Linked DNA regions of Diceros bicornis minor. The protein of the gene in region 2 binds, or shares a complex with, the protein of the main gene of each other region. Links are inferred from orthologs where the notes say so. Each region holds a gene or a part of one and is shown on either strand. Other genes may lie near its edges. The genes, in order: TAF1B, POLR1H and POLR1E.

Evidence for each region.
Region 1: POLR1H (region 2) and TAF1B share a complex: the UniProt entries of both Homo sapiens proteins name them as parts of the pol I pre-initiation complex. The link is inferred for Diceros bicornis minor from reciprocal best matches to the Homo sapiens genes POLR1H and TAF1B.
Region 3: POLR1H (region 2) and POLR1E share a complex: the UniProt entries of both Homo sapiens proteins name them as parts of the RNA polymerase I (Pol I) complex. The link is inferred for Diceros bicornis minor from reciprocal best matches to the Homo sapiens genes POLR1H and POLR1E.

What each region holds. Positions count from the first base shown.
Region 1 is NC_080751.1:70,280,005-70,283,749, forward strand, and holds the start of TAF1B (TATA box-binding protein-associated factor RNA polymerase I subunit B), read right to left. Parts: upstream 2,240-3,745; 5' UTR 2,175-2,239; coding exon 2,157-2,174; intron 1,016-2,156; coding exon 917-1,015; intron 1-916. UniProt on the Homo sapiens protein: Component of RNA polymerase I core factor complex that acts as a GTF2B/TFIIB-like factor and plays a key role in multiple steps during transcription initiation such as pre-initiation complex (PIC) assembly and postpolymerase recruitment events in polymerase I (Pol I) transcription.
Region 2 is NC_080753.1:35,907,303-35,911,047, forward strand, and holds the start of POLR1H (DNA-directed RNA polymerase I subunit RPA12), read right to left. Parts: upstream 2,197-3,745; 5' UTR 2,167-2,196; coding exon 1,923-2,166; intron 1,678-1,922; coding exon 1,577-1,677; intron 1,369-1,576; coding exon 1,259-1,368; intron 1-1,258. UniProt on the Homo sapiens protein: Core component of RNA polymerase I (Pol I), a DNA-dependent RNA polymerase which synthesizes ribosomal RNA precursors using the four ribonucleoside triphosphates as substrates. Can mediate Pol I proofreading of the nascent RNA transcript.
Region 3 is NC_080767.1:6,484,621-6,488,365, forward strand, and holds the start of POLR1E (DNA-directed RNA polymerase I subunit RPA49), read right to left. Parts: upstream 2,883-3,745; 5' UTR 2,810-2,882; coding exon 2,734-2,809; intron 2,152-2,733; coding exon 2,048-2,151; intron 373-2,047; coding exon 296-372; intron 1-295. UniProt on the Homo sapiens protein: Component of RNA polymerase I (Pol I), a DNA-dependent RNA polymerase which synthesizes ribosomal RNA precursors using the four ribonucleoside triphosphates as substrates.

The DNA.
Region 1 (3,745 bases), on a different chromosome or scaffold from region 2:
CTCAACACTTTACACTTGTGTGACTTTGGCAAGCTCACTGAACTCATGAGGCCTGCCTGCCCCATCTATGGATAGGCATAATAGTATATCTAAGGGGCCGGCCCAGCGGCTTGGCGGTTGGGTGCACACGCTCTGCCACTGGCAGCCCGGGTTTGGATCCTGGGCGCGCACCGACACACCGCTTGCCTGGCCATGCTGAGGCGGCGTCCCACGTGCAGCAACTGGAAGGATGTGCAACTATGACATGTGGCTCTCTACTGGGGCTTTGGGGAGAAAAAAAGGGGAAAAGGGAAAAAAAAAGGAGGAGGATTCGAAGTAGATGTTGGCTCAGGGCCAGTCTTCCTCAGCAAGGAGAGGAAAATTAGCATGGATGTGAGCTCAGGGCTGAGCTTCCTCAAAAAAAAAAAAAAATAGTATATCTCACAGGTTGTTAAGAGGAGGAAACAAAATAATGGCCAAGAAAACACTCTGTAATCTGTGAGGTGCTGTACAAATGTAAAACGATAATGAAACGTATTTTCAATACTCCCAATAATCTTCAGTCTTTCTAACATTCCATTTTCCAAACCTTTAAGCTACCACAACACACTAAAAATTCTTAATAAGTATTAACTAATAAAAAGAAATAAATCATCTTCTAAGTATAATTTTAATTATTTCACCTTGGACTATACAGTCTGAATCAGGAAATCATTTAAATATGTGGCCCAACATACTTTCGAAAATTCATCCTAAATCTAACCTACAAATTCCCTAACTCTTGTGTAAGCACTTGGAAGATGGCTTACGTTCTTGGAATTTGGGCATTGCATAAGTGATAAAAACAGATCAATTCTTTGGGAATTATGGCACATATTGGGCTGAAATAGCAATTTTTAAAACATAAGCAAATTCATAAATGAGATCTGTTACTCACTTCTGTAACATTGTGGCAAGAAGTGCAATAGTATTTGCCTTCATCAGTAAGACCCCAGGAGACAGCAGCACACTGAGCGCAGCGCTCTTTGAACTCTTTCTACAGGAGAAAAGGAAAACCACATTCAATACATCGCACCTAAACCCTGCAATGCTACTCATAGGGTTCCCCGCAATTTTACTCTATAAATAAAAAATCATAGGAAATAGAAAATGTATCAGAGACATTATCAACAAACAAGGAGAACAGCAGTTCAGTCTTTGAGCAGTTTGAAACCAAATTAAACTGTTAAAGAAATGTTTCTAAAACATGCAGTGTGTGAGGGAAAAAAAGAAGAAACGGTGGTGGGGGTAAAATGGAAAAAAAGATGAGTAAATAAAACTCCTTGAAAATGCCGTGAGGGAAAAAGACGACAAGATTTACGTATAGAGAAGATTTAAAAAACAGAAATAGCCTACCATTCGGAACTTCCTCCAGGACACTAAAGACACACACTCACCACAAAAGACCCAGATTTTTATCAGGGTTGTTTCGAGTTTCGATTTATTCATTCAGCAGCGTAAGGAGCATCAGCTTCGCAGGTACCAGGCACTTAACAGGGGCTGGGGGAGTAAGCCCTTCTGCACACACACAGCCTGGCACTAAATTACTGACTCCTAGCTCTTTGGTGTTTGACATCATCATTGATCTAATCACCGAACACTCCTTTAACACCCCAGAGTGAGGCATCTTATGCAGCACGGCAAAAATGAATGTCAAATTTACTCCGACAAGTTGGTCAAGTTTTCATCAACCTGTTGTGACAGCCATCATTACCTCGGCGTGCCCCCAGACCCCACTGGGCATCCTTGCGCCAGCCCGCGGCGAGGACTCGCAGGGACCGGCGGGGGCGCTCGGGGGCAGGCCGGCCCCAGCCCCAGCGCTCCCTCGCCCACCCAGCATCCAAGGGAACCCCGGGGTCCCGTCGAGAGAGGATGAGCCGTGTGGGTGGCCACCCCACGGAGCCCTCCTCCTCCGGAAACACACCTGCACGCTCCCCTCACCCACACCCGCCCCCGCCGCACACTCCAGCCTGGGTCCCAAACCCGCGCGCACACGCGCGCGCCAGCGCCCTCCCTTTCCCCGCCCCGCCCCCTCGGGACCGCGGCCCCCACAGCCAGCCGGCGTCCTCCGCCCGCTGCTCCTCGGCCTCACTTCCCCCCGCCCCGCTGTCGGCCCGCCCGGCGCGCTGCCCCCTCACCGCCTCCTCCAGGTCCATAACGGCGCCGCCGCCCGGGCCCGTTACCCGGCACGAGCCCAGCTTCCGGGAGCGCCGGGAGGAGCCCTCCGGACGGAAACGGAGACCCTGACTTTGGATTCCGGGCGCCTGCGGCCCCGGGAAAGCCTCTGCTGGCTCCGGGGGCAAAGCTCCGCAAATTCTGCATCCCCCTCCCAGACTGCATCCCTTTCTAGTCGAGGTTACTAAAACCAGCCAGTGAGAAACTGGGCGGTGCCTAAGGCTGAGCTGATTCAATCACGCCCCTCTGACGGCGTTCATTCCGAGACTCCCTTGCTCTGTTAGGCTGCAGGGAGGCGGCGTGGAGGGCTCGGGCTCTCCCCTTCCCGCGGGCTTCTGATAGCCCCGGGGAGGCGCGCGGTGCTGGAGGGGAGAACACAGGTTGCTGAGTTAAACCTGGGTGTCCTCTCACGGCTCTTCTGCTTCCTTGTGCCTCAGGTGCCTCCTCTGTGACAATCAGATATTACCTGTGAGTCCCTTATCGTTGAGCCTCACGTAGTAAGTGCTCACTCATTTTAGCCTTTATTATTGTTCCTTCATTGGGCACATTCATTCCTTGATTTATTCATTAAACGGGCGCTGTTTTAGGTCCTGGGGATTCAGCAGTGAACAGAGTCAACAAGAGTCCCAGCCTTCATGGAGAGTATATTCTGGTGGGGAGAGACAAAAATAAATAAGGAAAATATATGTATGATAAACGGGCATGAGGGCCAAGGAGAAAAGCAGGAAAGGACAATGGGAGCTAACGGTGGTTTCCATTTTAAATGGGGTGGTCAAGAAAGGTCTCACTGACAAACTGACCTTTGAGGCAAAGGAGCAAGAGCCATGTTGGGAACATCATTCCAGGTGGAGGGAACAGTAAGTTCCAAGGCCCTAGTCCTGAACCTTATGCCATGTTATTTAAGGATCAGCAAGGAGGTCAGTGAGGGGCTGGAACATGAGCTAAAGGGAGAGTAGAAAATGAGGTCGGGGCAAAATATGGTTGTAAGGACTTTACTAACTTGGAGAAATGGGGGAAGACATTGGAGGAGTTACGTCATCTGACTTTTGTTTGACAGATCAGTCTGGCTGTTGTGGGGAGAATAGAATGATAGTGGTCCAAGGTAGAAGTTGGGAGATGAATCAGAAGACTATTACAATAATCTAGACAAGCTATAATGGTAGCTTGAACCAGGTAAAAGCAGTGGAGACAGTGAGAAGTACATGGTTCCTGGAAATACAGATTTTGGAGGTAGAGCCAAAAGGATGTCTTCATGGACAAGAAGTGGGCTGTAAGAGAAAGAAAGGAGTCGAGGATGACTTCAAGATTTTTGCCTGAGCAACTGGAAGGGTGGAGCTATCATTGACCTAATAAGGGCAGACTGTGGGTGGAACAGTTTGGCAGTGGGGTAGAGGGAGAATCAGGAGTTTGATTTTGGACATGTTAAGGTAGAGATGCTTCTAAGACAGCCAGGTAGAATAAGAAGGCATTTGGATATAGGAGTCTAGAGTTCAGAGGCAAATTCTGAACTAGAGATATACATTTGGGAGTTATCTTTGTCTAGATGGTTTTT
Region 2 (3,745 bases):
CACCTCTGCAGAAGGGGAATCTGACTACCTCACAAGGTAGAGGGAGAAAAAATCTTCTCTGAGAATTTCTAACCATAAGCTGGCCCTTATATGGATTTGCAGCCCGAATTTATACTACCTATGTGCTCCAAAAAACCTGAAGCCAAGAATTTATTTAAAGTAATTCCGGCTCGGTAGTGCCTCAAGGCACCTGAACAGGAAACATAGATGCTGAGGATACAGCATTCACCCCAGGCCTCAAAGAATTCCCATACTTCAGACTCTAAAAAATCCAAGCTTATAGTCAAAAATCACAAAACAAAGAAAAAAAGCACCATGAGAGAGTCAGCAAAAATAACAGACAGCAGTATCAGACTCACAAAAATGATGGGTATCAGAATTATCAGACACAGTATAAATCATCATGTTTAATATATTTAAAAGTAACATTTTAAGACTAAAAGGAGCAATTTAAAATATGATTAAGGAATTGGGAATTATAATGACTGAGGAAATTTGAAAAAATAATCAAGTAGAACTCAAAAGAAAACTTTTTCTAAAGTAACAATAATTGAAATAAACTGAAGACAGAGTTAGTGACCTGGAAGAGAGACCTGAAGAATTTACCCAGAGGCAGCATAAAGAGAAAAAGAGATGAAAAATATGAAAGACAGGGTGAGAGAAATGGAGGGTGAAAGAGAAGGTTTATTAAACAACTAATTAATTAGAGCTCCAGAAAAAGCAATATTCAATGAGATAATGGCTGATAATTTTCCAAGGTTGATGAAAAAAAAGTCAATCCTGAGTTTTAGAAAGTCCAACAAATCCCAAACAGGATAAATAAAAGAAAGCCACATCTTGATATATTGTAGTGAAACTGCAGAACACCAAAGACCAAGAGGAGTTCTCAAAACCATTAAGAGAGCCCATGTTTTTTAAATTAGGCACGATTAATTCTCACCAAAATAAAACTACCTTGAGTGCAGCAGAAGATTCCAGCATAACATCCTGACCACTAAGCAATACTTGCCTTCTGTATTTTTCCATTTCCTTTAAAATATCTTAAAAGGTTTAGTTCACTGGCTATAAAAAGGATAAGAAAAGTGTAATTTTTAAAAATAAAAAACGACCACAAATCTCCCTACTATCTGAACTGTACAGAAATGAGGGATGGGACCAAAGGAAACAATTGCTTCTTTGGTACAAAAAGTAAATCACTGGATTTGTTTAGTTAGCAAACAGACTGAGACAGGGCAGAGGGAAGGGAAAGGATACGCACTTGCAGTTGGTACAGGTGTAGAAGACAGTCTGCCCTTCATCAGCTGAGCGCATCTGTCTGGTGTGGTATGCCATTCCCTCGTGACCACATCGAGAGCAGCGCCTGTCAACCTGGGAAGCAACTAGTGGATTAGGGAGGCCTAGTCGTATCCCCCCTACTTCTCATAGGAATCAGGCTATCACACTCCTCAGACACTGCTGCTCTAAAGCTCCCTCTTCCCTCTTAGAATTGGCTACAAAACTCCACAGGTCTCAGCAATCATCCTCCATTTCTTTCCCAACGCTCCTTGGGGGGCCATGCTTGATGTAACTAACTTACCACGGGTCCCTGGAACTCAGGTCCTTCCTCCATCGACATAGGCATGGCTGTCCCCAGTTTGTGGAACACAAATGAGGTCTTCACAACTTTCCCTTCGAAGTCTGCACAGGCAGTAAGAATCGGTTGCGGAAACAAGCGGAGGGAGCTGACACCCGCAACTCCCTCTTGATTAGGCCAGGAGGTCCTACATCCTTCCCTTCAGGTTTAGTCCCAAGACCAAAAGTGTGAGCGCCTGATCTCCTGCTTTAGGGTTCCCCTCTCCGATCCCACCGATCCTGAGGTCCCCAAGCCTCCGACCCTTCCATGCCGGGCCCTCCGCCGGGGCAGCTGCGTACAAGCCCCTCACCTCGCACGTTGATGGAGAAGCCACAGCGAGTACAAGTGACCGTATCCTGAGCCCCGGGCAGAGGCAGGACCGAGCCGCAATCCGGACAGAAATCCAGGTCCGACTGAAAGCTGGAGGAGGTGCCGGCGAGGTCCATGACGGACAGGCTGTCGAGGGCTGAGAAGGGAATAAGAAGTTGATTAACAAGCGAGTAGCTCCCTCCCCACTCAGGGGTCATTTCTATTCTGTCCCTGGAGCTAAGCATACATAACCGGAGCCCTCCTCCCACGCATGCCTCGTATGCCCAAGGGTCCCGTATTCCCAGCCTGCGTCGAGTACCCCCTGACTCAGTGGCTTTCCTCGGGCAGGCGAGAGGAGCTAGCCAACTCCGCGGGCTAGAGCGCCGGCCCTGCGCGGGCAATGGGGAAGCGAGCGCGCGGCGGGCTAGAGCGTCCACGCGTTGCGGCTCACGATTGGCTGTGACGTCATAATTAATCGCAAACGTGACCCTGACAGTCCTCGAGAGGCAGAGGAACGTCTCTGAAGGTGCAGGCCGGGCCTCTCTTCAGCCTGGTTCTGTATGGTCGGATAAGAAAACGGGTAATCGATGCTGGGCCTCCGGCTACTTTTCCCCTCAAGACCCAATCCTGGGATATTTATTTTTCTTGGTCTTGCACCTCACAGGGACCTAGGCGCGGAGGGCCGTCCCCCTGAAAATCGTACTAACCTTACCGAATACTAATTTCTTTTGACTAGAGAACTGCAGCTCCTGCGGTTCCTGAGCCGATAGTTCCCCTTTTGCGGATGCGCAGTGGTTAAAAACAAAGCTAAACTTTCTGAGTTACACTTGTAGCGCTCTGCAGAGCCCAGCCTGGCTCACGTGCCTTGGAGGTTGTTTCCTGCTCTTGGAAGGAGTGAGTCGGCTTAACGGGCAAAAAGTGGTGAAGGAGGAGGAGGCATGCTTACTCCCTGGGAAGAAGGGAAACAGGGATGAAGTGGGACACTGGGGGCTCAGGACTTTGGAGGTGGAAGAACAGAAGAGGTTGGGACTCCCTCCTCCTTAGACGGATGCCAGATGAGGGAGGCTAGTCAAGGGGAGCAGCCTTGGGTAGGATTTCACTAAAACTTAGGTCGAGGTTGGCTTTCATTTGCGCACCCACCTCCACCTCGTTCCCCGCCTCCCGTCCAACCAACTCTTAAATCATCATCGTCATCCGTTAGGTGGACAGTTGACATTTCCTTAATCTTTTATAAAACATGCGAACAAGTATCTTTAGAAAATCTTGCTATTTTAATTCATGTGTACCCTACAATCTAAAGTAAAAACTTGTTATCCTCCAGGGACAGCTTTTAGATGAGTTTCCTAGTTGCTTCCTAACATTTGCACCCCTACCCAGTTAGATAGCTGTACTAAGTTCCTTACATATAAAAGTTCTGGAGCCATACTATTTTCTCCTCTGAAAGAGACAAGCTGTGGTCTCTCCTTGAGAGAGACTCCGGTCTGCCTGTCTCAACAATAATGGAAAGACACACAATAGTGAAGGGGTTAAAACTGAGCAAGTTACAGGAGAGTGACAAGCCCCATAATTTCACTTAGCTGGTTTTTATTTTGTCTGTCTTACCAAAGGAGGTCTGTTGCTGAGCCCATGATTCCTTTATCAGGGAATATATAATATATTCCATTAGGGTTTTATACCCATAAGTCTGTTCTGTAGAGTCTGGCATATATTAGACTTAATAAATATTTGTTGAAAGAAAGGAGGACATTTGTTAACTGCTGGAAACAGAGCTGTGTCCCAGACAGCTAGGCCCAAAATACAAAAACAGCTGATAATATACCACTA
Region 3 (3,745 bases), on a different chromosome or scaffold from region 2:
TTGGCAACAGATGTTAGCTTAGGGCTAATCTTCCTCACCAAAAAAAAAAAAAAGAGAGAGAGAGAGAGAGAACATTACAAATGAATGCAGTTTTTAGGAAATTCAACAAATGTAAGTCATTCTTCCTTTTCAGGAATGTCTACATGCTGGTGTGAGGGGCCCTGGGTCTGGGAACAGGCGGACTTGGTAAACCTCTCTAGATGTCCCCCACTGCCCTTAAATAAAGACAGAACAGCAATGCCAGGGCCACCACCACTACCCTCCCCTTCCCATTGTCTTTTCTCCCTGTCCCTACCTGCACAGAGTGTTGCATTTGAGGGCTCCAGTCCCAAAATTGTTTCCCACATAGGAAAGTCTGTCTGTTTCAGCTGCCTAAAATGCAGAGGGGGAAAAGGTCCATTACAACCAATGTTAAAAGGCATTAAGGTGGCCGGCCCGGTGGTGCAGCGGTTAAGTGCACGCATTCCCCTTTGGCCCACGGTTCGCAGGTTCGGATCCCTGGCGCGCATGACGCACCGCTGGTCAAGCCATGCTGTGGCGGTGTCCTATATAAAGTAGAGGAAGATGGACACAAATGTTAGCCCAGGGCCAATCTTCCTCAGCAAAAAGAGGAGGATTGGCGACAGCCTGTTAGCTCAGAGCTAATCTTCCTCACAAAAGAAAAAAAAAGGCATTAAGCATCTTGTCTCCCTTTTCCACATACGCAAAAGCTTTAGGATTCAAACCACAGTGGATTAGAACTAAATAGCCTCTGGGAGACAACTCAGCCCCACTATCTCTAAGTGAATCTGGGGTGTCCCTGGGGGAAAGGCAAGAGGACTTTTGAAAAGCAAGCTCCAGATAGTGCTGGCTTCTAGCTAGTTTGAAAAGTTCTTGGGGGAGCTGCACCACAGGACTTGGGAGCAAGGCCCTGGGCTCCCAGAACTTACAGGTATGCAACAAAATGATTCTGCAGGCAACCTCCTGGGCCCAAAGTCCAAGCCCTTCTTTTCTTTTTTTTTCCCGGAGGAAGATTCGCCCTGAGCTAACATCTGCGCCAATCTTCCTCTATTCTGTACATGGGACACCGCCACAGCATGGCTGGTGAGTGGAGTACGTCCACGCCCAGGATCCGAAACCACAAACCCAGGCCGCCAAAGCAGAGCACACAGAACTTTAACCAGTCAGCCGTGGGGCCGGGCCTCTCCAAGCCCTTCTTGAACCCCTTTGCCCACCTCTCCCGTGACTGCTCCTTATATGCTCTCAGGACGATGGAAGGGCTGCTTCACTCCTCAATTAGAGCCAAGCTTTCTTGCTTCCCTATGTCTGTCCTTGCTATCCTCCTCACCTGGAATACTAAACCTCAGCTATCAAACCGTCCTCCATCCTTCAGGGCTCAGCTCTAATGCACCCTCCCCCAGGAAGGCATTCTGGCAAGCAGAGACTTCTCTGCTCACCCTGCCCTGTACTCTCCCTCTCTCAGGCCCTGAGCTTTGTCTACTTGTATGAGTGTCCCTCGCATCCACTTCTCACCTCTCTAAAGCAGTGGTTTTTTAACCCAAAGAAATTCCCCTGCTGGGGACATCTGGAAATGTCTGACATTCTGGTTGTCACAACTAGGTGCTACTGGTACCTAGTGGGCAGAGGCCAAGAAAGCTGCTAAACATCCCGTGATGCCCAGAACTGCCCCCACAACAGAGAATCCTCTGGGTCAAAACGCCAACAGTGGCGAGGTTGAGAAACCCTGCTCTGGAGTACAAGCGCCTCAGAGTGGGGCCAGGGCTGACTGAGCTGTTTCCCTAGCAGCTTCCAGCACAGAGCACAGCCGGAGCTCAACAAACGCTCGCTGCATGAACAAAAGAACGAAAGGAAAGCCATCACTTGACCAAAAGTACAAAACTAAACGCAGCCTGTCCCCACACCCCAACCTGCCGGGGTTTCAGCAGAGTTCTTCAAGGGCTCATTTGCTAGCCCCCTTCTCTCCTCTCACTCCCTCCCACATCCACCCACACCCAAGGGGCCTCCTGAGGCCTGCGGAGCAGAGGCATCCGGCCACTGCAGCACTCACCAGGATCCGCTGACTCCTCTTCCTGGGGTTTGTGGAGTCGTTGCTCTTGTACAAGGTAAAGCGCATGTTGCCTGGATTCTGCAGCTTCCCATTGGAGAACTGGACTGTAAGATTGCAGCCCAAGAATGAGAGGGGAGCAGAAGGACCCAGAGTGTATGGTGGGAGGAACTGGACTCTCGTTGGGAGGGAGTGACTGGAGAGGAATGATGATGGCAAGGAAGCCCAGGGCCTGACCTAACGGGGGATGAAGGAGGTCCTGGTCCACTTGGGATGAGGGAACAGGGAAGCGAGGGGCATCCTGGCCAGGGGCTGAGACAGGCAGGAACAACCAGGGGAATGGGGCTGACTGAGGCCTCGTGCAGACCTAGAGAGACAGAGGGAATCCCTGCCCTGTGGAGAGAAGGAAACGCAGAAGGCGTGAGACCTGGCGGGTGTGAGGGGATTCAGGATCCTGGCTACATCCCTGGGGAGGGGGAGACTGAGATGTCTTTATCCTGCTGGGAGGTGGTGACAGAAAGACGGTGGGATGATAGAGGAGCCCTGGCCGAGCCCCAAGTCGTGGAGGACACTAGGAGGGGTCTTGGCCTGGCCGAGAAAGGGGCCCAACGGGGGGCGGGAGGACTAAGGAGGTATCAAGACGGCGGGGAGGGAATTACTGGGTACTGCTCCAGCTCCGCGGTCCTTACCCAGTACAGCTCTCTGGCTCTCGTCGGGCTCCCCACAGTACAGCCACTTCGCACTCGGCAACACCTCCACCGCCATCTCGCCTGCCCGCCGCCAAGTCCGGGAGGCACCACGGCCGCAGGCCAGCGCGCGTTTTCCCTCACACGGAGGCAGCGCGGCGGGCCGGAAGAGGCGTGGCCTCGCCAGGCTCCGCCCCCCGCGCACTTCCTCTGAGCTCTGAGGCGCGCCCCCCCGCCCATTCTTCGCCCCGCCCCTCCGCCTGGAGAGGATTGGTGTGTGTCCACGCGGTGCCCGGTCCCCCACAACCCCGATCGGCCTCTCCGAGGCGCAGCAGCTGATTGGCCCAGCACTCCGCCTGCGCGTTAAGTTGTGTGGGACTAGGTTCCCAGGGGCCCAGAAGTCCTGCAGTTCGGACCTAACCGTCATTGAGGCTGCTTCCTGCACAGCACGGTCTAGAGTGTGGTCTATCTTTCCTACGCTGGCAAATATATCTTACTAAGACCTGAAAGGCCAAGTTCAAATTTAGAACTCTCTGACAGGAACTACTTGAGCGGCTGGCCATCTCTAGGGCCTCCGTTCACACACGTGGGCATCCAGTCCTTAAGTCCAAGCTTCCTCCGCAGCCCTGCGTGCTCACTCCTCGGTCCTAGACGTGCATACACGGGTGGCCCAATCAACCCTGCGAGGATGGACCAGGGGGAGAGGCTCAGCAGGCTCATGAGCTTTTTGGCAGGGGATTCTTGGGTGGACCAGAAAGCAGGACACAGATCTGATGGGCATGTCTCTCCGTCCCTGCGAATTCAACCCTCCCTCCGCATGGGGGTTACCAGAGCAAGAGGGCCAAAGCAGGGCGTTTAAGCATGGACCCAGGCCGGAGCCCCTTTTGCCTTGTCAACGGAGGGTACTGTTGAAGGGCAAGAACTCGGGTTGACTCGCCTCTGTTGTCCAAATGGCCTTCTTTCAAGACTCATCTCCTCTCCCCATACAGAGACGCACCCAGGATGCTCCCAACAG